Linked DNA regions of Cricetulus griseus. The protein of the gene in region 5 interacts with the protein of the main gene of each other region in a pairwise test. Links are inferred from orthologs where the notes say so. Each region holds a gene or a part of one and is shown on either strand. Other genes may lie near its edges. The genes, in order: Pkm, Usp13, Myoz1, Pdhb, Trim63, Tnni2 and Gmeb1.

Evidence for each region.
Region 1: the proteins of Trim63 (region 5) and Pkm interact in a two-hybrid assay, tested with the Homo sapiens proteins (3 studies listed by BioGRID and IntAct). The link is inferred for Cricetulus griseus from reciprocal best matches to the Homo sapiens genes TRIM63 and PKM.
Region 2: the proteins of Trim63 (region 5) and Usp13 interact in a two-hybrid assay, tested with the Homo sapiens proteins (2 studies listed by BioGRID and IntAct). The link is inferred for Cricetulus griseus from reciprocal best matches to the Homo sapiens genes TRIM63 and USP13.
Region 3: the proteins of Trim63 (region 5) and Myoz1 interact in a two-hybrid assay, tested with the Homo sapiens proteins (2 studies listed by BioGRID and IntAct). The link is inferred for Cricetulus griseus from reciprocal best matches to the Homo sapiens genes TRIM63 and MYOZ1.
Region 4: the proteins of Trim63 (region 5) and Pdhb interact in a two-hybrid assay, tested with the Homo sapiens proteins (2 studies listed by BioGRID). The link is inferred for Cricetulus griseus from reciprocal best matches to the Homo sapiens genes TRIM63 and PDHB.
Region 6: the proteins of Trim63 (region 5) and Tnni2 interact in a two-hybrid assay, tested with the Homo sapiens proteins (2 studies listed by BioGRID and IntAct). The link is inferred for Cricetulus griseus from reciprocal best matches to the Homo sapiens genes TRIM63 and TNNI2.
Region 7: the proteins of Trim63 (region 5) and Gmeb1 interact in a two-hybrid assay, tested with the Homo sapiens proteins (2 studies listed by BioGRID and IntAct). The link is inferred for Cricetulus griseus from reciprocal best matches to the Homo sapiens genes TRIM63 and GMEB1.

What each region holds. Positions count from the first base shown.
Region 1 is NC_048597.1:171,224,136-171,226,527, forward strand, and holds the end of Pkm (pyruvate kinase PKM), read left to right. Parts: intron 1-549; coding exon 550-731; intron 732-1,241; coding exon 1,242-1,348; 3' UTR 1,349-1,892; downstream 1,893-2,392. UniProt on the Homo sapiens protein: Catalyzes the final rate-limiting step of glycolysis by mediating the transfer of a phosphoryl group from phosphoenolpyruvate (PEP) to ADP, generating ATP.
Region 2 is NW_023276806.1:116,475,463-116,478,962, reverse strand, and holds part of Usp13 (ubiquitin carboxyl-terminal hydrolase 13), read left to right. Parts: intron 1-321; coding exon 322-444; intron 445-973; coding exon 974-1,000; intron 1,001-1,760; coding exon 1,761-1,904; intron 1,905-3,500. UniProt on the Homo sapiens protein: Deubiquitinase that mediates deubiquitination of target proteins such as BECN1, MITF, SKP2 and USP10 and is involved in various processes such as autophagy, endoplasmic reticulum-associated degradation (ERAD), cell cycle progression or DNA damage response.
Region 3 is NW_023276807.1:200,330,513-200,334,614, forward strand, and holds the start of Myoz1 (myozenin-1), read left to right. Parts: upstream 1-1,302; coding exon 1,303-1,375; intron 1,376-2,418; coding exon 2,419-2,597; intron 2,598-4,102. UniProt on the Homo sapiens protein: Myozenins may serve as intracellular binding proteins involved in linking Z-disk proteins such as alpha-actinin, gamma-filamin, TCAP/telethonin, LDB3/ZASP and localizing calcineurin signaling to the sarcomere.
Region 4 is NW_023276807.1:76,097,053-76,101,124, forward strand, and holds the start of Pdhb (pyruvate dehydrogenase E1 component subunit beta, mitochondrial), read right to left. Parts: upstream 2,801-4,072; 5' UTR 2,716-2,800; coding exon 2,674-2,715; intron 2,602-2,673; coding exon 2,548-2,601; intron 846-2,547; coding exon 738-845; intron 645-737; coding exon 582-644; intron 492-581; coding exon 456-491; intron 165-455; coding exon 1-164. UniProt on the Homo sapiens protein: The pyruvate dehydrogenase complex catalyzes the overall conversion of pyruvate to acetyl-CoA and CO(2), and thereby links the glycolytic pathway to the tricarboxylic cycle.
Region 5 is NC_048595.1:18,970,593-18,974,092, reverse strand, and holds part of Trim63 (E3 ubiquitin-protein ligase TRIM63), read left to right. Parts: intron 1-1,660; coding exon 1,661-1,829; intron 1,830-2,723; coding exon 2,724-2,819; intron 2,820-3,500. UniProt on the Homo sapiens protein: E3 ubiquitin ligase. Mediates the ubiquitination and subsequent proteasomal degradation of CKM, GMEB1 and HIBADH.
Region 6 is NC_048596.1:58,818,272-58,822,505, reverse strand, and holds the start of Tnni2 (troponin I, fast skeletal muscle), read left to right. Parts: upstream 1-1,434; coding exon 1,435-1,453; intron 1,454-1,683; coding exon 1,684-1,775; intron 1,776-3,956; coding exon 3,957-3,998; intron 3,999-4,087; coding exon 4,088-4,216; intron 4,217-4,234. Other genes in the region: Syt8 (synaptotagmin-8), read left to right, coding at 1-103, 178-345, 476-581, 682-815, 898-1,131. UniProt on the Homo sapiens protein: Troponin I is the inhibitory subunit of troponin, the thin filament regulatory complex which confers calcium-sensitivity to striated muscle actomyosin ATPase activity.
Region 7 is NC_048595.1:21,003,194-21,006,693, forward strand, and holds part of Gmeb1 (glucocorticoid modulatory element-binding protein 1), read left to right. Parts: intron 1-2,144; coding exon 2,145-2,248; intron 2,249-3,500. UniProt on the Homo sapiens protein: Trans-acting factor that binds to glucocorticoid modulatory elements (GME) present in the TAT (tyrosine aminotransferase) promoter and increases sensitivity to low concentrations of glucocorticoids. Also binds to the transferrin receptor promoter.

The DNA.
Region 1 (2,392 bases), on a different chromosome or scaffold from region 5:
CACCTGCTAGAAGTAGACATTATCACTTGTCACAGGTAGTTTTGAGAAGGGGGGGTCACTACATTCCCAAAGGTTCTAGATGGGCTAAGCATTGCTATATAATGCCTGGTCACTGTCCGGATTTTGTGGCACCAAGTGTGTTTTGGGCTCTAGAGTTAGGCTTCTGGGACTGCCATGGGAACAGCATACTACTGCAGTCCTTAATATTGTTGGCTCCCAGGAGCTAGGTGTATGCTGCTTGGTTGTAAATGTTGCTAGCAGTTGTGGATGCTGGTGAGATTGGCCAAAGCTGTCTCCCTGCTACATGGAAGGGTTCATGATATGGGAGGGATTCTAGCCATGGGCCCTGAGGGACTGCTGCTCCTATTGAAGGAGCAGTTAAGAAAGGACAGAGGACAGGATGTGGGGGGTGGCCAGTCCTTGGAACAGAGTAAGCTCTCAGTGGGCAAGGCCTGTGCCTCACTTGTGTTAGTGAGCTCCTGCTGAAGGTGCTTCCTGTCTCCTGGGTCTTGTGACACGTTTCATAGTCTATCCTATTTCCCATCTCAGGAGTGCTCACCAGGTGGCCAGGTACCGCCCACGTGCTCCCATCATTGCTGTGACTCGAAATCCCCAGACAGCTCGTCAGGCCCATCTGTACCGTGGCATCTTCCCTGTGCTGTGTAAGGATGCGGTACAGGATGCCTGGGCTGAGGATGTAGACCTCCGTGTGAATTTGGCCATGAATGTTGGTATGTAGCTGGAAGCAAGAAGATGGGGTGCTGAGCAATGGCTTTTCTGGGAATTCTGAAACTGTCATTCTCTGAAGACTTGGGCTAAGCCTTTTTGTCCACACCCTCCCAATTTGGGGCCCAAGGCAAAATTAAGGTGGGACACACAGATTATGTACTGCTGCTATAGCCTTTGTTCCTCTATAAGGTTGGACATTGGGATGGGAGGAGGCCGCTGGCTCTGTGATCTCCAAAGGTCCCTACAGTCTTGAGTTCAGCCATTGTTTGGTCTAGGAGGCTTGCACCACCTTGTGGTAGAAAGAAGAATTGGTTCAGGCAGACTGGTCCCCTTATCATAGGCAATGGGATTGTAGGTAGCTCTTTGGGCATTTGCCCTGGAATGCCCATGCCTGGGTGGCCTCTGGGCTAGGAGGGAAGTGCCACCTTGTGGTAGGAGAGAGTAATGGTTGTTCAATTTGGGGCAGTTACCCCAAGTGTTTACTTCTATTCACAACCTTTCTATTCTTTCAGGCAAGGCCCGAGGCTTCTTCAAGACGGGGGATGTGGTCATTGTACTGACTGGGTGGCGCCCTGGCTCTGGCTACACCAACACCATGCGTGTCGTGCCTGTGCCTTGATGGCCCTCTGGAGCCCCTCTTCTAGCCCCTGTCCCATCCCCTCCCCCATCCCATCCATTAGGCCAGCAACGCTTGTAGTGCTCACTCTGGGCCATACTGTGGCGCTGGTGGGCTGGGACACCCGGGAAAATTTACTGGCTTTGAAACATGGACTAGAGCCCAGCTGTCTCTCATGGCCCTACCCAAGCTAGGGATGAAGGAGGAATGCAGAATTGTAAACCCTCTGCCTTTATCACAAAAGGGCAGCAACACCTCTGTGTGTTTTGCTCCTGTAGAAAGTTGCCCAGAGAACTCCCAGCCCTGGGAGACAGCAAGAGTGTAGGGGCTTAGGACATGGGGCCCAGGTCCCTGTGTGTAGATAACCCTTGACCCTGGGCCTGATTTGCTTCCCCAACAGCTTTGGCCTCCCCCACTCCTCCTTGTGCACTCCACTCAGCTGTGGCTGCAGACACACACTCCACTCGCCACCTTCTGTTCGACGGCAGCATCCCCAGGCCTGTTGCTATAGTGCCCACCTGAATGTCAATAAACAGCAGCTGAAGCACCTGTGTCCTGTTCTTTTCTGCTGGGGGAAGTGGTTGAGCCCTGCCCTCTGAGCAGGTGAACAGCCTTGGGCCTGGGCCTGGCCTTGGGTGCTATAACTCCACCAGGTCACCGGCAGGGCATAGGACAACTGGAAAAGCAGCTGAATGGTACATATATAGGCTGAATATATAAATCGCTTCTTCCAGCACCTGGGCTGTGTTGGAAAGCACACTATTCTGTTGAGGCAAAGGCATGAATGACCAGAGAAAGTCCAACTTAGACCTACAATGGTTCCTATACTCAAGGAGTTAGGTGACCCTGGTGCTGGTAGGCTGGCCCCTGTAGTAGATAGCCTTTTAGGGTGCTGTGGGATGTCTCTACTTGACACCTGAAATCCTCAGGATTTCAGGGTCCTCTCTGGAATAAAGTACAACAGGAGCAGGTAGGACCTTCCTTAGCTCCTGGTCACTGCTAAGAGCTAAAACTATCCAGTGGGGGTATGTACGGAGGCCTGAGAAA
Region 2 (3,500 bases), on a different chromosome or scaffold from region 5:
CAGAAGTCTAAATTTTAAATTTAAATCATGTCCATATTTTAAGAAACACAAAATGGAATGAGTCCAGACCACAGATAGCCTGGTTGCTAGTCTGTGAACACTGGCTTATCTGACCTATTGCTGTCCAGTGTGATGCCTTTGTCCCACCACTCTCTGCCCTTTCCCTGAGCCCTCCATTAACTTTCATGTGGCTTGACAAATCTGCTGTGCTCTGTGTCCCTTAGGCTGCCAAGATACATGCATGCAGTGAACACATGCAGATTTATAATGAGCTGATTTGGGCTCTAGAGAGTCCAGTGAATATAATCTTTTGTTTTGCAGATGTTTCTATTGATATGCCAGACCTACTAGATATCAGCCATCTTAGAGCCAGGGGCTTACAGCCAGGAGAAGAGGAGCTTCCAGACATCAGTCCCCCTATAGTCATTCCTGATGACTCAAAAGGTACCATTTCCTACTGGAAGGATACTCTTTCCTTACCACCCTCTTCCAGCCAGGAGGAGTTACTGTTTCACCATTAAACTGCTCCCTGTCTTTGACCTAGACACATAGGAATGAAGCATGGCTGCAACTGTATACTTCAGACTCATACACTATGAGTCATTGATTTGGGCCCTGGTGGCAGAGGCTCCTGAAAGGGCTTACAGACAGGTAGTGGTGAGCAGTAGGGAAGCCAGGATGGCTTTTCATACTTCCCCTATAAATCATGTCCAGGCCAGAAACCTTGCTCTTGGAAATAAATGCAAGGATTGAAATTATTTATCTCACTGAGATGTCAAAACTTCTTGTTTTATTTGCCCAAAATCTGCTGTTTCCCCTCATTACTGTAATTAATGAACTGTTTTGCAGGTAGTGTGTGTGGGGTAACCAGGAGTGAGAGGGTCTGGGAATATCCTGGACTGATGCAGTTTCTTTTTTCTAAAACTATTGGTGGTGGCTAGCTCTTATTTATCATCTGTTCTTTCATTTCCAGATCGCCTGATGAACCAGTTGATAGACCGTAGGTATCTTTAAAAGTGTTTTTTGGTGTCTTACAGTTGTTGCTAGTATGATATGTTTTAAAGATTTGTTCATTTTTATTTATACATATGGGTGTCTTGCCTGTGTGCATGTCTGTGTACCATGTGAATGCCTGATGCCCACAGAGGCCAGAAAAGGGTGTCAGATTCCCTGAAACTAGGGTTAGAGAGGGTTGTGAGCCACCATATGAGTGCTAGGAACAGAAAAAACCTGGGGCCTCTGGAAGAGTAGTAAGTGCTCTTAACTTCTGAGCCATCTCTTCAGCTCATAGTGTAACTTTTTTTTTTTTTTTTAAGTAGTAGTTCAGCAAAGTAGCATTGTTCTGTCCTGGATATATGTGGTTGTTCCTGGGTGGAACTGTCTGTAAGTTGAGTAAGCAACAAATGTAGACCAATGAAATGCTGCTTAAGTATCCCTTATTGCTCAGGAGGATTAGTGTAGGCTTGAAAGCTTGCAGTCCTGTGGGGTTTTGCTGCTTAGGACTGTGTGGCCTGGAACAATTTGTTTCTTATTCTATAGGCCTCAATTACCTCATTTGTAAACTGAGGTAATAATACCATTTTTTTTCTCATGAATAGCTCAATAGTTAGATGACATAAAAAGAAGTCAAATTAAGACCCAACAAAATGGATCTGTCTTCAGGTAGTCTGTAGATTAGATAAGGGGTTGAAGAGTAATGAAGACAGGAGGAAGTGGAAAATTCTGTTTTTCATGGTGGGATATCCTGCTGTGCTCTGTAGCCTCAGACATTGATGAATCCTCCGTGATGCAGCTGGCTGAGATGGGCTTTCCTTTGGAAGCCTGCCGGAAGGCTGTGTACTTCACTGGAAACACTGGAGCTGAGGTGGCCTTCAACTGGATTATCGTGCACATGGAGGAACCTGGTAGGTGGCCATATGGGAGTACTTTGGAGTTCATGTCCCCAAGGATGTGTCCCCAAAGATGAGTTTTCAGATGGTAACATGCTACTGTTTGGGCAAAGTCACAATCTTAATCTCTTAAACAACAGCTTTCTTGGAATAACTTCCTCCTTAAAGGTGTCCACACTTCGTTGACCAAAAGATCATTAGAAAGATGTGGTGTTTATTTTAAGCTTGAAATAGAAAACTGAAGAAATGGAGGCCCTTTCCTCAGCTTCTTCTTTTGTCTACTTTCTGAAGATGTCATTTATATATCCACCTATCAGAAGTGTACATTCACATGGATTTTAGTCACTTTACAATTAAGCAACTGTCTAATTCTAGAATATTTTTGTATAACAAAAGAAATGCTAGATAGGAGGTATCTTGGTGGTTTGATTGTAATTGGCCCCCATAATCTCATAGGGAGTGGCACTATTAGAAGGTGTGGCTTTGTTGGTGGAAGTATGTCACTATCTGGGTGGGCTCTGAGGTTTCCTATGCTCAGGAAGCTGCCCAGTGGCTCAGTCTACTTCTGTTGCCTGTAAGATACAGCACTTTCAGTTCTGGTACTGTGTCTGCCTGATTGCCTCCATGTTCCACCATGATGATAATGGACCGAATCCCTGGAACTATAAGCAAGCCACCCCAATTAAATGTTCTCTTTATAAGAGTTGCTGAGGTCATGGTGTCTCTTCATAGCAATAGAAACCCTAATTAAGACACTGCCTCTCCCATGTTCTTACTCTCTCCAGTGCTTAATCTTCACTAATCTACTTTCTGGGTACCCTACAATTGTTATGAATTTGCCTATTTTTGATAATTCATATGAATGGAATTGTACAACATGAGGCCTTTTGTGTCAGGTTTCTACCGCTTTTCATAATGTATTTAGGGGTCTTATGCTGTAGCATGAACAGCACTTCCCTTTTATGGCCATGTAGTGTTCCATGTATAGCCATACCACAGTCTGCCCTTTTATCAGAGGATGACAGTCATTTGGGTTTTTTCTGCTCTTTGGTGTTTATTAATGGGGCTGTAAACATAAACTTTTGTGCATATATAGATTTATGATTTTGTTTCTCTTGAGCAGAATTGATGTAGTTCTATATTTAACTTTTTAAAAATTGTCAATTTTACCCAGTGGCTGAACCATTTCATACTCTTACCCATGATGAATGAAGGATTCAATTTCTCTGAATTCTCACCATTAGCAGTTTTGTTATAGTGGCTTCTGGGTGTACCATGGTGGTCACTGTGATTTCAAGAGGTATTTCCCTACTGACTAATAACACTGTGGGTATAATTAGTTCTTTGCCTTTTATTGTTAAGTTCTAAGAGTTCTTTTTAAATTTTAGATACAGGTTTCCTCTCAGACACATTTTTTTTTTCTTTTTTGGTTTTTCAAGACAGGTTTCTCTGTGTAGCTTTGGAGCCTATCCTGTCACTCGCTCTGTAGACCAAGGTGGCCTCAAATTCACAGAGATCCACCTGCCTCTGCCTCCTAAGTGTTGTCAGACACATAATTTGCAGAGATATTTTTCTGTTCTATGTCTTCACTTCTTTGATGATGTCTTTCAA
Region 3 (4,102 bases), on a different chromosome or scaffold from region 5:
CCTCTTTGTCTGTGATTGTGATCCTTCATCCTAGGGGAGTGGCCTCTCTCCTCATCTCTGCCCAGCTCTCAGCTGTCCAGTTGGAGCCACAGAGTTGGAAACAAATGGACCTAAGGAGTTGGGTGGAATTAAGATGGGTGGGGAGGTACCCGAGGAATGGGAAGGGGGGGCTGAGACCCTGGGAGGTTGGTAGAGTGTATCTGTACTTCTGAGACAAGACTCCACAGAAAACTGCATGAGCGTTAAGGACAAATTGAAGTTCATGTTTTTCCCTAGCTTGTCGCCATCCACAGCCAAATCTTATTACTATGTTTCTGTCCCCTCACAATTCTCTACTGTTATATATGATATCGCTGAACTGACATCTGTCAGTGCTCAGATGCCCTCAGTTCACTCTCCACCCCAGCTCTGCAGCTTGGGATAGGAGTGCCTGAAGGAACAAGGAACACACCCATGACCTCTCAGGCCAAGTTCCAGTTGGCCTCCTGGCAGAACAACAACCTCTCCTTCCTATGGAGACTGTCTTGGCTGAATCTCCTTAACACCAGCAGAGCATTTCTTTACCCCTTGGACCTTGAGGGAAGCCTGAGGAGGAGACCAGAGTCTGGAGCCATAGCTGTAGGCTGATACCCCAATACAAATAATCGCTTTAAATCATGCCAGGCCAAGAAACCTGGGTGCACTGCCCTGCCAGGGTTGTTGTCTTTGAAACAGCTCTCGCCTCCCCCCCCACAGGATCTATGGAAAATGGGCACTGGAGGATGGTAAGAGGTAGGGAAAAGGGGGCAGCTCTGCCTCCTGTTCTGATTCCAAAGAAAACAAGTCCTAAGACAGCGGAGTTTTACCATTTGGGAGGAATACACACTTCTGTGAAAACCTGAGAGTTGGATGGCATACCTTAGTGGTAGAGAACCTGCGTGGCATAATGAAGCCTTGAATTCAATCCTCAGCACTGGAGAAACACACACACACACACACACACACACACACACACACACACACACACACACACACACTCCGAAGAAACTTTGTTCTTAACCCCAAGTTAAGGAGTACTGAAGCTTCGAGGTGGTGGCACATGCCAACTTGGGAGGCAGAGGCAGATTGGGCAAGGAGGGTAGGAGCTTGGTTTGAGGATCTCTTGAGTTTGAGGCTAGCCTGGTCTACACAGCCAGTTCCAGGACACAGGACAGTCAGGGCTACACAGAGAAACCCTGTCTCAAAAAAAAAAAAAAATTAAGAAAAAGAAGATTCTTCTTCAAGCCTGCTTCCCACTCCTTCCAGGTCAAGTCCATTTCCATCATGCCGCTCTCGGGAACCCCGGCCCCTAACAAGAGGAGGAAACCCAGCAAACTGATCATGGAGCTCACCGGAGGTAGGGCATGCTTGTAGCTCCCTAGTGCCTGACTTTTAAGAGCACCCATGACTCGGGAGTCCCAGAAATTACATAAGACTGGATATAAGTCAGAGTGAAAATACAGGAGGAATTCCAGCCACGGAAGGTGTGGGAGACAGAAGTGATGGGAGGGGTAAGAAGGGCAAGGAGAGAGAAGCAGGAAGAATTCCACATTTACTCTGCATCCTCCACCCTTGCCACTGGTTATTCTGAGACAGCACCCAGCTACACTACTCAGCCAGGCCCAGGGCCACAGGACACAAGCTAGACCTCACCAAATGGTTAACTTCCTTATTTCTTTCTAAGTGCTAGAGAACTTGTGTAAGCATTTAAAATAGGAAACTGGGCAGGCATACTCCCCAGGGATGTAAACGAGTTACCAGGTGTGAAGTTCTCCTGATACTTCTGGAGCCAGAGTTCACTGAATCAAAAAGAAAAAAAATAAGGATCTGTATTTAGAGAGGGGCAACTGCACATGATATTGGACTATCAGCTTCCTCCCAAGCTATAATTTCTCCAGTGACCTCTGTCTACAATATTCCCTTACACTTGTTCTCTTCCACTCCAAGCCCATATTCTTTGTAGCCCTGTTTACTTCTCTACTCTAGTACTCCGACTGTATATGCCCTGAACCCTTGTTCCTGTGTATTCTCTCTAACTCCAAACCAGGAAATCAAGACTTCTCATGGAGTGTGATGATGGCCTATGCCTTTAATCCCAGTGATCAGGGGGCAGAGGCAGGCTGATTTGTGAGTTCAATGCCAACCTGGTCTAACAGTGAATTCTGGGCCACTCTGGGTTACATAGTGAAACCCTGGACCCCCCCTCTCTCTCTTAAAATATTTAAAAGATACACAAATGAGACAAAAACCTCTCATAAACTAGGCAGAACTTGGTCAGATCACAGAATTTTGCCTCTAAATGATCTCTTTGACTATACACTCAGCTATGGGTGGAGGTTCTTCTCTGAGTCCAGAAAGCCTTAATTTCCTCTATCGCCCCTTCTCCACCTCCTGGACAAGGTGGACGGGAGAACTCAGGCCTGAACCTGGGCAAGAAGATCAGTGTCCCAAGGGATGTGATGTTGGAGGAGCTGTCATTACTTACCAACCGAGGCTCCAAGATGTTCAAGCTGCGGCAGATGAGGGTGGAGAAATTTATCTATGAGAACCACCCGGATGTTTTCTCTGACAGCTCAATGGTGAGTATGGATGTGACCAACTCTCTCACAGCCCAGTGCCTTTTCTGACAGCCTCTCAGCGGGCCCTAAGTTCCCCAAATACCACCCACTTCCTCTCCATGAGAAATGATAAGTTCATTAAGTCCCGTACATGTATTACATTCCCAGCAGCTCTAGGGTGGGTTGCAGCCCATTTCTGAATCTTAGTCCTCATCTTAGAGCCAGTGCAGGCTGAGGAGTACCACACCCAGAGGAAAATTCCTTCCCAGTGTGGGTAAGTGTTAAAATAGGGTTGCCAGATAAAACACGGGACACCCGTCCTGTATTTTGAAGTTAAGATACACAATGAATATTTTCTTTTAGTGAAGTATGTTCTTTGTAATATTGGGACATAAAAATAAAACAAGCATCAAAAACTACAGAATCTCGGGGCTGACTGTATAGTTGAGTGGCAGAGCAGGTGCTTAGAATGCATGGAACCCTAGGTTTCATTTCCATTGCTCCCAATGAAGACATCAAGACATTGAGACACCAAAGGTCAAACAGAGTATCCAGTTACATTTGACCTCCAAGTCTACACAATGAGCTGGACCACTGAGGAGGCTGAGGAAGATTGCTTATGAGTTGGCTAAGTTTTTACAGCGAACACCTGTCTTTTTTTCTTTTTTCTGTAAATATGTTGCCTGTAACATGTAACATTTTAGACATACAATATAAGAAGCCTGGCGTTGGTGACGGCTTTTAATCCCAGCACTTGGGAGGCAGAGGAAGGCAGATCTCTGTGAGTCCGAGGCCAGCCTGGTCTCCAGAGCGAGTGCCAGGATAGGCTCCAAAGCTACACAGAGAAACCCTGTCTGGAAAAAAAAAAAAAAAAACCCAAAAAAACAAACAAAAAAACCAAAAAAACAAAAACAAAAACAAAAAACAATATAAGATTTGAATAATACATTTTTGTTTGTTTTGTTTTTCGAGACAGGGTTTCTCTGTGTAGCTTTGGAGCCTGTCCTGGCACTTGCTTTGTAGACCAGTGGCCTCGAACTCACAGAGCTCTGCTTGCTTCTGTCTTCTGAGTGCTGGGTGTGTTACATTTTAAATTTAAATACATAACAAATACTTTCTTAATGTAAACTTGTCCCATTAAATACTTAGGGCATATTTATACTAAAAATATTGTTCTATACCTGAACATAAAATGTAAGTAGTAGTGTGTAATTTTGTTTGTTAAATCTGGCAATGTTAGGAGAGTCTAATAAGTTTCTATAGCCATCTTCCTTTTGAATAAATCTTTTTTTAAGGTTCAGTCTCTTCTTTAAGGGTGCCTAACAGGGAACTAAACCCTCTTTCTCTAAGACAACATATGTTCCAGGCAGGCTTCTCCAAAGAAAGAGGAGGAGGATGGGAGAGAGGTCAGGCACAGGACGTTACAGCCAAGGAGGAGGGGACCAGTTCCATTTCCTCTCTTCCTCCTCCACCTCCTCTGGGTGGCTGGGACAGTGGAAATAGATGCCTACATGGATATGGCCAAG
Region 4 (4,072 bases), on a different chromosome or scaffold from region 5:
GCAGCTACACCTGCTGAGGCACCATTGGGCCCCCTGAATACTATGGGCACAGGCTGGAGGCCAGCAGACATGTAGTAAGTCTTAGCAGCTGAGTTTATAACCTGGTCAATGGCTTGCATAGAGAAGTTGAAGGTCATAAATTCACAGATAGGCCGCAACCCAGCCTGTCAAGTAGAAACATCAATGTTAAAAAGACTAAACAGAACAAGCAAGAGTGCTGAATAACCACTCCACTTTTCCAGTATTACAAACAATATTTTCTTTCTTTTTCTTTTTTTTTTTTTTGTTGGTTTTTTAAAACAGGATTTCTCTATGTAGTCCTGGCTATCCTCTGCTTCCCAAGTGCTGGGGTTAGGTTAAAGGTGAGTGCCACCATGTCCAGCTCAAACAACATTTTCAGAAGATAGTATTAAAGGAAATCTCCTTAGATGACCTTCATAAATAATAGTACATACCATAGCTGCACCAACAGCAATTCCAGCAAAGCCCATCTGTAAAGCAAACAGCAACGTAAGAAAACATCCACAGAAATTAAAACTGAATACTCAACTCGATTCTCAAAGCTGGTCTGGAAAGCGTACCTCTGATATGGGAGTATCTATGATCCTCTTGTCACCGTATTTTTTCCATAGGCCTCTGCTAACCTACAATTAGAATTTAACCCCATGACTTACAAGTGCTTATCAGGGCAAATGGGTACTTTTTAATTCTATATCAAGTTTACCTATTTCAGTTACCTTATATGCACCATCATACTGGGCAACTTCTTCACCAAGCAGAAATACCTTTTCATCTCTTTCTAGTTCTTCATCCATACCTTGATTAATAGCTTCTCGAACTGTCAACTGGCATAGGGGTATATAAACAGGAAATAAGCTAAAGGATTATTTAGATACTATGGAAATTCCCTTCCTTATACTTACCTAGGCTGCCCACAAGACAAAACATAATTAACACTCAAGCAGGCAATTCCCTTTAAAGTTCCAAGAATCTGAGGAGGCAAGATGGCCAAGTCTGATGAGTTTGATCCCAGTCACACATTATGGAAGGAGGAAACTGATTCCCTGGAAGTTGACCTCAAGTGCATAGATAAATGCGTATCATACAAATTAAAATTCCAAGCCAGGCGTTGGTGGCGCACGCCTTTAATCCCAGCACTCGGGAGGCAGAGTCAGGCGGATCTATGTGAGTTCGAGGCCAGCCTCGTCTCCAGAGCGACTACCAGGATAGGAGCCAAAGCTACAAAGAGAAACCCTGTCTCGAAAACAAACAACAACAAAAAAGTCAAATTAAACTTCCAAGAACTTAAAAAGTAACACTCTACCACTAATCCTTCACTAGATGTTAATGAAAACTTACAGAACACTGGTTGTACCATTTGATGCACACCCAGGCAACAACAACACACTGATGGAACCCTAAACTGTGTCACAGGCAGTTTCCTAAGGAGAAAACATGCTAAGTTGTTTCTGTCACTACACTTGGAATACTAAGAGGCAGAGAACTAGCAAGGAAATCTAAGTCTAAGCATTAAGCACTCACTAGTGCCCAACACTTGACATCCACAATGCAGGAGCTGCTGCTTTAATATGTAGAAAGGTTAAGTCCTCCACTTCTAAATATACTTATGCCAAAGAACTGAAAGCAGGGACTCAAGCATGTATCTGCAGCCGATGTTCTCAGCACCATTACAAACCCAAAAGGTGGGAACAAGCCAAATACTCATCCTTGAATAAATGTATACGATGTGCAAAGGCTATGACTCAACCTCTCAAAGGAACAAATTCTGATGTATGAATTTCACAATATGGATGAACCTTGAAGCTACTGTGAGAAGTTAAATAAGCCAGACACAAAAGAGCAAACGATCCAACTCATATAACATTCTAGAGCCAGCAAACTAAGGACTAAGGGTCCGGCCTTCCTGAGCAAGAAAAATACAAAATGGTCTAGAATAGCAGAGTAGTGTGAGTTATCGTGTAACAGCCGGTAATCAAAAAAACTACTAAGAAATGGACAGTGTATATGACGACCGCAGTCGATGCCGCTGAACTTGACATTTTAACCTAAGGTTTTTTCTTTTTGTTGTTGTTTTTGTTTTTGTTTTTTTTCTTTTTCGGTTTTTCGAGACAGGTTTTCCCTGTATTGTTTTGGAGCCTGTCCTGGAACTAGCTCTTGTAGATCAGGCTGGTCTCGAACTCACAGAGATCCACCTGCCTCTGCCTCCCGAGAACTGGGGTTAAAGGCATACGCCACCAACGCCCGGCTTAACCAAAGGTTTTAAAGTTGTATTTTTACCACAACTTCGGGTGTATGTGTGTGTGTGTGTGGGGGGGGGGTCAGGGAAAGCGCTGGCTGCTTGTTAGACGACCTCCGGCCTCGCGGGGGACGGGTGTCAGCTTGAGAGGCGCCGGGCGGGGACACAAAGTGCGGTTCATTCGCAGGGCTCAGCCGCTGCCAGGGTCGGCGACGCCACCCTTCCACCTCCCGCCCGCGCCCAGGACCGAGGACTCCCTCCCGGCCTTGCTCAGGGTCGGAGACGGTTACCTGCAGTGCCGCGGGCGCCGAGCGGTGAAAACGCCGCTTCACAAGTCCAGACACCTGGCCGGGAGAGAGAAAGAGGTTCAGGGAGGGCCCGGGGCCTGCCGCGGGCGTGCGGGGGCCGCCACCTACCTGCCGCCAGGGTCCCCGCAGCACGCCGGCCAGCGTCGCCATCTTGCCCGTGTCCTCTACTGGCGGCCTAATGACAACACAGAAGCTCCGCAGACCGGGCCTGGCGCAACCAACGGTGGGGCGTGGCGAGCTCAGGGCCCGCCCTAACCCGTCAGCCGAAGCCAATGGAGAGTGACGACTGAGGGCCCGGCCCTCCTGAGCAAGCCAATAGCAAGGCGCAATGCCAAAGGGTCCCGCCCCTCGGGCTAGCAAAGGCCTCTGCGAGCGTGGCCAACGAGAGGGGGCGACGTGTGCGAGTCCCGCCCACCTGGGCAGGCGGGAGCCGGCGGAGGTGGCGTGGAGCAGCTGATCTTTTCTGACCCGGCGCACGCACCCGAGAACGTTTAGCAGACAGCCGGCTGCAGCTGCTAGCACGCGGTGCACACGCCCCTGGCTGCTGCCTGCCTGCCCGCCCAGGTGCTGAGACTGGCAATGAGGCCTGACCGAGGATGGAGGGGCCTTAAGGCCACCCCTCCGCAGACACTGCGGGCCTTGAGTACCGCGTGGGTGGCTCTTGCCCACAGTCCCGTGGAGGAGAACTAAATAAAAAGGAAAGGCATGGACATGACGGCTCCTCGGTACGGTGAAGGAGAAAGTTTATTATACAGATATATGGGAGAGCATAACCAGAGGCTGAGACATCTGGGAGGAGAGCCCTCGCCTTTGTATGGATGGGCGCGGTCCATTGACTATAAACAATAGCTTTCATGTAAGCCTTGCGTCCACTGTGTGCCAAGCATTGTGATGTGTACTTCATAAGTGATTGTAGGTGGTTGCTGTTATTTTTATCTGCACTTAGGCATGAAGATGTGAGGAAATTGTTCTGATCATGCTGAATTTAGATGGCAAACCTACGACTCAAATGTGAGACAAACGGCCCGTGGTTCGCCTATTTAACATATCAAAGTGGGCCTGGCTGCCAGGTCCTCCCAGCATCCTTCAGTTCCTTGGAATGACTTGTATGTCTGGCATACCCTACCCTGTACCCTGAACTTTCCAGCCCAAGGTCTGAGGTGCCCTAACCCCCAGAGGCTCTTTCCTATATAATCCAGACATTTTGATTACCGGCCCTTTTTTACCTTACTGAAACACCTGGCTCCCATTTCCCCTCCTCTCCTCACATGGCTCAGCTCAGCCTGGTCACGTCCACTCTGAACTCTCCCAGGTGTCTCTGCCTCTGGCTATGCTCTCCCACATATCCATAATAAACGTTATTCACCATACCTAGGAGCAGTCGTGTCCTTTTTCTTTCTTTCTCTCAATACCCAAATGGGAGAAGTCTGAAGCCTAAAGACTTGGTAGGGCTAGAGATAGACATTTGGGAATAGCTGCTTGGATGTGGTCTTTATTTTCTGTATTC
Region 5 (3,500 bases):
TTGGGACAGCTCTGAGAGACACTGAGGCTTGAAGAGTAAGATCACACAAATCAAGCAAGTGTTTGACCCCGATACCTGACCGCCAGGGAGGGAGGGAGTTTCAACAGCAGGTCTGCTCCATCTTGTTTTACACCCTGGGGCAGAGCAGCAGGTGGCACCGGGGAAACCCCCACCATCACAGCCACCTCAGTATGAGGTCCCTGAGCTCAAAGATGAAAACAAAGCCAAAACCAAAAACCAGCCTGGATAGGGGCTCCTGGAGGGGGCAGTGAAGTCTGGGGTGCTACAGCCATGCAGGGCTGCTGGGAGGTGAGACATTGATACTGATGGGGACAGTCAGTTTGAGGTTTAGGAGATGCTTACATGTTAGGGGCTGGCATCAGAGGTAGTGTAGACATGGCTGCTTACCCTGAATGGAGCCAAGTTCTGTCTCACTTGGGAGGTAAAACCTTGACTAAAACCCGAGTAGATGCTGGGAAAGACTGATGCTAGAGAGGAGCATGCCAGGCACCCTAAGCAGAAAAAGCAATAAAGGGAGAAAGGTCCTAGGACAGCAGGAAGAAACACTTAGGCCAGCAAGATGGCTCAGTGGGTAAAGGTGCTTGCCGCCAAGCCGTCAACCCGAGTTCTACCCTCAGGACCCATATGGTAGAAGGAGAGAACAAACTCCTTCAAGCTGTCCTCGGACCTCCATCGTGTGACGTGGTGCAAACATTTACCCCAGCATACACGCATAGTCAATAAAGGCATTTTTAAAAATAAAAAAGAAGACGGGCAGTGGTGGCTCACTCCTTTAGTCCCAGCACTCGGGAGGCAGAAGCAGGAGGATCTCTGTGAGTTTGAGAACAGTCTGGTCTACAAGAGCTAGTTCCAGGATAGGCTCCAAAGCTACAAAGAAACCCTGTCTTGAAATATATATATATATATATATATATATATATATATTAGATATATATGGGCCCCATGAGGTCAAGCTTTGCACGGGGCTGCTACACAGCCCTGCCCCCAACCATGTGCTGTTTGTCTGGCTTAGGGTGTACATACTGTCCCCTTCTCCTAACCCTCGGACACCCTCAGGATGTGTTTACTCGTGTATTCTTCCTCCTTGCATTTCATTTCCACGGTCTCCACGCCAGGTACTGTACGTTATAGACGCAGGGGAGAAAAACAAGCAGGCTTCCCAGCCTAGTTGAAGGCTATGGTCTGATAGATTAAATATAGACATAAGGGTTGCCATCAAAATAAGTTGCCCAGGCCCAGCAACCAAGAGCTATGGGGCTATAATTAGAGCAAAGGCGTTCTAACCTCCTCTGCCTCTGTGCTGGGCGACCTTGGGCAAGTCTGTTCATTTTCTGGGACTCTGTTGCCTCTTCCTTAAGGTCAGCATCTTCTGGTCTGACTCTAGAATTCCGGGGCCCTCCCCGGGCTCCCTGTACCAACTCAGGCCAGCCCTAATGCTGGAGTCTGAGTTTAGGTGTCATTAGCCAGGTTTGGTGTCATTAGCCTCCCTGATCTTGGGCTCCCAGAAGATAAAACAAAGACTGTTTGGAGCAGGTACACACTGGGAACTGGCATGTGGATGTGGTGGCTTCCTGTTCTTGGATTTAGCAAGGGACAGTTAGAGGGGACATCCCTAACTTGTGGTTCTTCTCCCCCTCAGTCGGCCCCTGCAGAAAGGCAGCCACCCGATGTGCAAGGAGCACGAGGATGAGAAAATCAACATCTACTGCCTCACGTGTGAGGTGCCTACTTGCTCCCTGTGCAAGGTGTTCGGGGCCCACCAGGCCTGTGAGGTAGCCCCGCTGCAAAACATCTTCCAGGGACAGAAGGTATTGACTACAAACACTGTGCCCAGATGGATTTGACCCTTGTGGATGTGCTGAGCCGGCCTTTCAGGAATAGTCCCTCTGGAGGGACTTCCCAGGCCACAGGGACAGCAGCCGTTGCCTCCCTGGGGGAGGTGGCTGAGCTCATGGGTTATACTTAGAGCTACTTGAGAACACCTGGGTGTGGCCATAGGGAAGAGGCCAGACCCCAGGGACAGGCCACCAGGCCCTTCCAGGCCATGGCTTCCCCTCCTGTGTACTCTGGGGTCCCATACCTCTCCACTTGGGCCTCTCATGTAGCACAAGGCAAAGTCGAGGTTCTTCCCTGGGCCCCTGGCAACCCCAGCATGGTGTCTGTAGTAAGCTGTAGCCCTTCCTGAACTCTGTTCTCCACATGCCACTTGGCTCTTGGACTTTTGTCTTCTAGAACTTTCCAATCCTATTCCTTTTCTCAGAAATTAGCAGCCAGGGGGTATGACAGACAGCACAGGCCTTTAAGCATAGCACTCATGAGGCAGAGGCAGGTGGATCTCTATGAATTTGAGGCCAACCTGGTCTACATAGTAAGTTCTGGGCCAGCATAGTAAGACCCCAGCTCAGAAAAGAAGAAGAAGAAGAAGAAGAAGAAGAAGAAGAAGAAGAAGAAGAAGAAGAAGAAGAAGAAGAAGAAAGTTTTCTTCTGTTCCTTTGTCAGTATCTTGCTGTGTGTTCTGGGGTGCTCAGTTTCTCTCTCTGGGTCTCATCCGTCCATAAAGGATATAGCATCTGTATTAGTCTCTACTTTAGACCTTAACTGCACCCCAGAAGGAGGGATAGCAACCCTATTGGTGACTCTGTCAGAGAAGCAGCCGGCTCTGAATCTATTTCTGTCTCTCCTCTCTCACCCCTCCCATTCAGACTGAACTGAGTAACTGCATCTCCATGCTGGTGGCAGGGAATGACCGAGTGCAGACTATCATTTCTCAGCTGGAGGACTCCTGCCGAGTGACAAAGGTGAGGGTGCTGAGTGGCCCTGTCAGCGCTGAGGCAGAGTGGACACCTCAAGTGCAGCTGGTCTCTGGGAAAGGCCTAAGTTGTGAGTTTAGGTTGGGGTTTAGGGCCTTGGGTGTCCAATATAGATGGCAGAAAAAGGGCACAGCCATTCCCCCACTCACTTGGCAAATAGTTCATGAACATAGCAGTTATGTCAGACCCTGCCCAAGGTCAAGCCAGACCCAATTGGTCCCTGACTGCAGGGACCCACCAACTCCCTGAATGTCTCTAGCATCAATCATTTTGCTGCAGAGCAAGGTTCCTGGACCTTTAAAAGTTCACTTGACCCTGGAGCCTGTGGAAACTCAGGTTCTGATTCGGTAGATCAGGAATGAAATGGGATTCCACACTTCTTCATTTATTATTATTTTTTAATGTATATGGGTGGTTTTGTTGTTGTTGTTGGTTTTGGTTTTTCAAGACAGTGTTTCTCTGTAGCTTTGGAGCCTGTCCTGGAACTTGCCCTGTAGGCCAGCCTGGGACTCAGAGATCTACCTGCCTCTGCCTCCTCAGCGCTGAGATTAAAGGCGTGCACCACCACAGCCCAGCCAGGTGTTTTGCCATGTGTGTGAGTGCCTGAGGAGGCCAGAAGAGGGAGTTGGATCCCCCAGAACTGGAGTTACATGTGGTTTTGAGCCACCA
Region 6 (4,234 bases), on a different chromosome or scaffold from region 5:
CTACGCCCGCATCAGTGTTTCCACCCAGGCTGGGAGAAGACACGAGACAAAAGTGCATCGTGGGACTCTCTGTCCCATGTTTGAAGAGACATGCTGCTTCCTGGTAAGTCTAACCTGTGTAGGTAGAGCGGTCTAGGGCCAGAGCAGCGGGACTCAGCTCACGGCCCTGCCTTGCAGGTCCCACCAGCAGAGCTGCCCAGGGCTACCCTGAAGGTGCAACTGTTGGACTTCAAGCGGTTCTCAGAACACGAGCTACTAGGGGAGCTTCAGCTATCCCTGAGCACTGTAGACCCTCTTCATGTCCTGGAGAGCTGGTACCTGCTGGGCCCTCCAGGTACCACTGAGGTGAGCCTGGCTGGCAGGGGCCTGCCTGTGCCATGGGGGTGGCCAAGGCCTGGGTGCTGTAACTGCTGAGCCCAAAACCCCAAGGGCAAAGATGACCCTCCCAGCGGCGGCCATGCCTTGTTACCCATAGCTTGAGCAGATGGGGGAGCTGTGCTTCTCACTGCGCTACGTGCCCAGCTCAGGCCGTCTGACTGTGGTTGTGCTGGAGGCTCGGGGCCTGAATCCAGGGCTTGTAGGTAAGAACTATATTGGGGTGGTCAGAGGGCTGGGCCCTTGTGCTCAACCTTCCCATGCGCATGTATCAGACACCTTTCTTGACCTCTCTTGTTCATGCAGAGCCCTATGTGAAGGTCCAGCTCATGTTAAACCAGAGAAAATGGAAGAAGAGGAAAACATCCTCTAAGAAGGGCACAACTATGCCCTACTTCAACGAGGCCTTCACTTTCCTGGTTCCCTTTAGCCAGCTCCAGGTGGGGAGCAGGAGGAAGGGTGGAGTGGCCTGGGACGTTGTGCTGGGCCAAACTGATAACCTTTTCCCTTCTATGTCTGCAGAGTGTGGACCTGGTGCTGGCTGTCTGGGCCCATGGCCTGCATCACCGGGCTGAGCCTATAGGCAAGGTTTTGCTGGGTCCCAGGGCTTCAGGACAACCTCTACAGCACTGGGCAGATATGTTGGCCCATGCCAGACGGCCTATCGCCCAGTGGCACCACCTGCAGTCCCCCAGGGAGGTGGACCGTGCTCTGGCCCTGAAGCCTCACCTGCCCCTACCTAGGCCTCACTCCTAAAAGAACTGTAGGCTTCAGTTTCCCCAAATGGAGCTGTGGGCATTTGTCCAGGCTCTTCCAAGCTTTCTGAAATAAAGGTCTTTTTTTTCCCACTCATGTGCCCTGATAGAGCCCTGTGAGGAGGACCTGAGGCACAAGGTGGGCTACATCTTGGCACCACTGGCCTCTCAAGGGTGAGGTAGGGTGCTCTGGACAGATTTGCCAGTACTGAACCTCTGCTTAAGGCCTGATTATTAGGTCTTCCTGGGGAAGATGGCATCTCTCTCTGCCATCCAGGGTTGGCAGAGGAGCAGGGGATTAGAGATGGCCCTGTGGGGACAAGGTGGGCAACTGGTGGGGGGAGTTGTGGGTAGGGACAGTGTGGGGAAGAGACCCCAACATCATGAGGTATGGAGACATAGGGTGTCCTCTGTGCTATCAGCAGGGGGCAGTAGATGCCTTCGGAAGCTGCTCTGGGGCCTTTGGGGGCGCGCAGTCCTGGCCTGTGATATACCTCTTAATCCCAGCACATCTGGCCGGCTTTAGCAGTTCCAACCCTCCCCTGATCCTCAGGGGCCCCAGAGCAGCAGGGCTGGGGCCAAGCCATGATCTGGGTGTCTCTGGGTGGGGTTCAGGAGCGGGAAAGGGGTGAGGGCCTGGCCCTAGTGAGCGGGGCAATGCAGGGCCTGCCTAGGCAACCAAGGGCCCTGAGCCCCCATAGGTCAGAGAGAGGTTTCTAGGGCGGTGGCACCACTCTCTGGGGTTGAAGGACATGTTCCAAGTTGCCTGTGCAGAGAGATAGACACCCGTGGGCAGGGTGTGTGGCAGGCTGGGAGAGGCCCAGCTACTGGTCCAGGGGCCTATTTGTTCCTCTCCCTGAGCAGAAAGGCAAGTTCACTACAAGGGGTGGGCATCTCTCTCCTGAGCCTTGACACAGGGCCAGAGAGACTGTTTTGTTGTTTTGTTTTTGTTTGCTTGCTTTTGGGGATGGGTCCAATTTTGCAGGAGGACTGAAGTGGTGAACAGTCAGCCCAGGAGCCCAAACATGGAGTGAGTGACCAGATAGGTGCTGAGTTACAAGGCCATTTGACAGTGACTCCAGTTTAGTCCACTTGTTAGGTCAAGTTTCCCTTGGAGGAAGACTTCAATGGATGCTTGAACCGGGTGGGTACCCTGGAGACCCACATGCAGTGTGACTCTTGCTGTCCTGAGGGTTCTTGCAGGAACAAGGTGGCATCTTGAACTGGTCACTGAGACATAAATAGAGCAAACCAACCCCCACCCCCACCCCAAGACTTCTTGGACAGGCCAGCGCCTGGGCTGGCTGGCCAGCAGGCTGGGCAGGTGGGGAGGCTCTCCTCCTCTCTGTGCCCCCATTGGTCTGAGGAGACTCCATGCCCTTTCTGAGCAGGGGCCCGGCCCAGGGAAATCCATTTATACCCCTCCCCCTGGCCCACCAGCCCAGCTTACTGCTGCCTGCCTGACCTCGCTCCCAGCCCTGCTGCACAGACTCTAGGTGAGGCCTGGCCCATCTTCTTGAAGCTGGAGAATAGGGCACTACTCAGGCTAGCTCGCAGGAGGACTTCCCTGGGCAGGGACTTGGGGGTCTGGGGTCTGCTGCCAACAGCTCTCTCTGGGGGTTCCCACAGATCTGGGATAAAAAAGCAACAGGTGCTGGTAGGATGGGACAGGGGTCTTCAGTGGGCCTCTGATGACAGGCACTGACTCTGGGGACACACAAGCAAGAGAACGTTCAGGTCAAGCAAGCGGGGACCTGAGCCCCCAGGCCACACAGGAGAGCTCTTTCTTCCATGTATCTACTTCTCCAGCCAAAGAAGCAAGAGTTAAAAATAACAGGCTCACCCTGGCAGCCACCTGTGCTGGCCAGCCCCACCCCTCCCTCGGGGACAGCTGCAGCTCCTCAGGCCCCGCCTGGGACATTTTGGGAACACTTTCTCCTCTTACTTCTCACCCTCAGGGTGGGGGTGGGGGATGTCCTCTAAATCCTTGCCCTTTGAGAAGGTCTGAGTTGAGGGTAGAGCAGAATTGGACTAGTGAGTGAGCACAGGTCTCCATGCCTGGCCTCATGCAAGACGGACACTGACGTCTTCCCCGCTCTCTCCCCACAGGCTCAGAGCTCGAGAACTCAGGATGGGGGAGTAAGTGGTACCCAGTGTGACACCCCCACACACACTGCAGTCCCCTCACCAGGGCTCGGGTCCCATATCCCCCTACCTTCCGTGGCTAACACCTACCCCTTCAACCCCACCTACCCCAAGGTTCCATGGCTACTCCCATGAGCCACAACCTAACTTCTCTTTTCTCTCCCCCTCCCGCCTCCCTCTTTCTCCTGGGACAGTGAGGAGGTGAGTACCATTCAGGCTATAATGGTTCCCTGAGACTAAGTCAGAAGACACACCTGTCAAGGTCCTCAAGTGCCCCGCCCCCTGAGCTACCCCAGAGAGAAAGGAAGTGCCTGCCTGGTGCCCAGTGAGAGGGAAGTGAGACTCAGGCTCAATCACAATGGAATCACTTCTCCTTTCTGATTTCTGTTCACCATTCACCTCCCAGGCCTCCCCTTGCCCACAGCCTCTAAGCTCTGGCCACACCCCTCCCCATTCCCAAACCCCATTACCCCCTTCAAGCTTATGTGCCACCTAAGCGAAGTGTCAGGACCACAGGCATGAGTCCCTGAAGCAGGCTCTGGACTGGGGAAAAATAACAGGGTCCTGGGCAGTGGCCCTGAAGCCTCTTTGGGAGCCCTGTTGTCAGATGGGGCTTCAAGGAGGTCAGTGTTCTAGCCAAGGCCTGACTCTGTCCTCTCTGTCCTGCCCTGTCCTGTTCAGAAACGCAACAGGGCCATCACAGCCCGGAGACAGCACCTGAAGGTAGGGATGGGCTGCTGCAGAGAGCTGGGGGTACAGAGGTGGGGGTGGGAGTCACTGCAGACCCTTACTCTCACCATTCTGCTTCTCAGAGTGTGATGCTCCAGATTGCGGCCACAGAACTGGAAAAAGAGGAAAGCCGCCGTGAATCTGAGAAACAGAACTACCTGTCAGAGCACTGCCCACCTCTGCATATCCCAGGCTCCATGTCTGAAGTGCAGGTAGTCCCTTCTTGCCAC
Region 7 (3,500 bases), about 2.0 Mb from region 5:
AGAGACAGGTTAGGTAATCTTGGTAGTAGGTGTCTGAGTTGTAAACATCTGGGAGGAGGAAGCTGCAATTTCTAGTCTGTGCTCACACTGATCAGTTAGTTATTCATAAGCACTTGTACTTGGATTTGTGAGCCTGGGCAGTATGAGTAAAGGTTTTGCCAAATGCCCCATGGTCTGAGGCTTTGGTCTTTCTCCGCATGGCTGTACCCATGTCAAAATACATATCCCCAGCCAGGCATAGTGGTGCATACCTTTAATTCCAAGGCTTGACAGGCAGAGACAAGGCCAGCCTGGTCTAGTTCCAGAACGGCCAGGGCTACATAGTGAGACCCTGTCTTGAAACAACAAAAGTAGACATTCCCTTAGGACTTCACTCACTCAGGGCTTGCCACTTCCAATAGGCAGCAGATACCTTTATCTACTGAGCCATTTTGCTGTCCCCACAGCTGTTGTCTTATGCTGTCACAGTAGAAAGTAAGGATTTTGAAATAAAATGAGCCTGGCTCTACTTCCAAAGGAGCATGTGCAAGAGAGCATTGTCTGTTTTCACCAAGATAAACCTGGGACATTATATGATGCCTTGGTGGTGGGGGCAGGGCCTTGTGCATGACAAGGGTTGTCCCTGTATGGTACTGTTTGTATAATAGTGTTTGATAGTTACTTGCAACAAGTAAATGAATAAATGGCTAGAACCCTTCTCTACCTCTGTCTAGCCATGTGATTTTGAGCAAGTTATTTAGTAATATTTCAGAGCCTTGCTGGCCATTGTGGTATATACCATTAACCTCAGCCCTTTAATCCTAGCAAAGACAGGCAGATCTCTAAATTTGAGGCCCACCTGGTCTATGAAGTAAGTTCCAGGACAGCTGGGGCTACACAAAGAAACCCTGTCTCAGAAAAAAAAAAAAAAAAAATTGGAGCCTTATGTATTAAAATAGTAACATTCCCACTGATACGCATACATGTAAATGTACACACACATTTATACAGCACATGTACTATGATGTATTGAATGAGATCATATATGTAACATGCGTTGAACTGGTATGCATCATAATAGGCTTTATTCAGAATTGTTGATGATAAGAATAAGTAGGGTGTAGTAGGTCATGCCTGTAATCCCAGAATGGAGGCAATAGGATTGATTTAAGTTTGAGGCCAAGAGGTGATACAGTGTGAGACCCTGTCTCATAATACCCAAAAGGTATGGTGATTTATGCCTTTAATGACAGAACTTGAAAGCAGAGGCAGGTGAATCTCTGTGAATTCAGGGCCAATCTGGTCTACACACAAGGAGTCTTAGATCAGCCAGGGCTATGTGGTGAAACCCTGCCCCCCAAAAAACAAACAAACAAACACAAGCAAATAAGAAATCTCATGAGAACCAGGCATAGTGGTACACACCTTTAATACTAGCACTTGGGAGGCAGAGGCAAGCAGAGTGAGTTCAAGGCCGGCCTGGTCAGAGCTACACAGTGAGACCCTGTCTCAAGTTTAAAAAAAAAAAAAAAAAGAATCTCCTCGATGGGTGGTCCTGGTGCACACTTTAGTCCCAGCACTCAGGAGGCAGAGACAGCTGGATCTCTGTGAGTTTGAGGCCGGCCTGATCTATAGAGTTAGTTCTAGGACAGTCTCCAAAGCTACACGGAGAAACCCTGTCTTGAAAAGAAAAAAAAAAAAAAAGAGTGCTGGAACTACAGATGCAGTTCACAGATTGTCCTTTTTTAGGTGATTTCTGGGATTGAAGTCAGTCTGTAGTCTTGCACAATTAGCACTTTTAAAGTTGAGTTATCTCCATGCGCATCTGTCTTTAACACTAGAATTCTTCAGTTACTTGACCAGTCCCTGGAACACTAGACCCAGCCCCCACTTCAGAATATAATGGATCAGAGTATAAATGGATGTGTAGATGCTATGTAGCATGTTTATCTCTCACCCTCGTCCTCTATAACTCTGTCCTAGGAAAGGACAGGCACTCAGAGAGGGATAATGTTTGGTACCATAGGACGGGGTTGGGTGACACTGATAGGGCTTGTAATAGTGTCTGGGGTTTTGTGTATAGCAAGTGGCATTATTTCATTCTTCCCTTGCTGACCTACCTAAGTTGACACTGGACCAATTTGGATTTTTCTTTTTTGCTTTAGTTCAATGATCAATTGATCAGCCCCAAGCATTTTGTTCATCTGGCTGGCAAGTCCACTCTGAAGGACTGGAAGAGAGCCATTCGTCTAGGTGGCATCATGCTCAGGTAAGTGCCAGTGACAATCACAAGCATCTCAGTGAAGCGCTTAGTCAGGGTAGAATCTCCCACACTATTTGACCTTCATTGACCTGTCCTTAATCTTTTTTTTTTTTTTTTTTTTGCTTTGTGATACTAGGGATGGAATCCAGGGCTTTGTGCGTGCTACGTAAGCAGTCTACCACTGAATTATACACTGTAACCTCTAACTATTAAATCAACTAATTAACTCTCTCCAGCATCTAATTTAGATTTTTCATTTTTCTTTTTAGTTTTGTGAGTCTCTTTTAGTTCCATTTAGCCCACAACTTGCTGTGTAGCCAAGGCTGACACCAGCATGCCTGGCTTAGGGTGCTGATGTCAGGAGTTTAAACAGGATCCTTTCTTGGCTTAGAAGCTCCAAGTTGCTGATAGTCCTCCCTGTCATCCTTACATCAAGAAAGCAAAGCTGGGTGCTGAGTAAGTGCAATAGCCATGACTGACAGTAGAAGACCACTGCTGAGAAATGCCAGGCATAGTGTTTGCAGTCTTTGCATCACTGTCTAACAGAAACAGATGTCAGCCTATGGGATAGCCCCTACCACGACATTTATTTTCCTCCAACAAGTTTACCATTGTGGTTTTCCCTCTTGAATGCATTAGTTAGTATGCCTTGAATGTTCCCTTGCTGAAAATTTAAATGTAAAGCATGGGGCTGGAGAGATGACTCAGCTGTTAGGAGTGCTGGCTGTCCTACCAGAGGTTCTGGGTTCAGTTTCCAGCACCCACATGGTGGCTCTCAATGCTCTGTAATTCTAGTTCCAGGGGAATCCAACACCCTCTTGTAGCCTTCACAGAAATCAGATGTGTACATAGTACACAGACATGCATGTAGGCAAAGCATTTATTTATTTTTTATATTATGTGCATTGGTGTTTTGTCATGGCTGCCAGGTTTCCTGGAACTGGAGTCACAGACAGTTGTGAGCTACCATGTGGGTGCTGGGAATTGAACCCAGGTCCTCTGGAAGATCAGTCAGTCTTAATAGCTGAGCCATCTTTCCAGCCCCCTAAAAAACAAAAATTTTAAGGTCAAGAATTAGAAGTGTCCAACCAGGTGTGGTGGCACCTTTAATCCCAGCACATAGGAGGCAGAGGCAGGAGGATCTATGTTTAAGGTAAAGCTGGACTACATGACCAGTCTACTCTACATAAAGAAATCCTGTGTGGAAAATAACACAGACAAGTGGCTGCTTCCATTGGGCAGGATTTCTCAGTGGTGG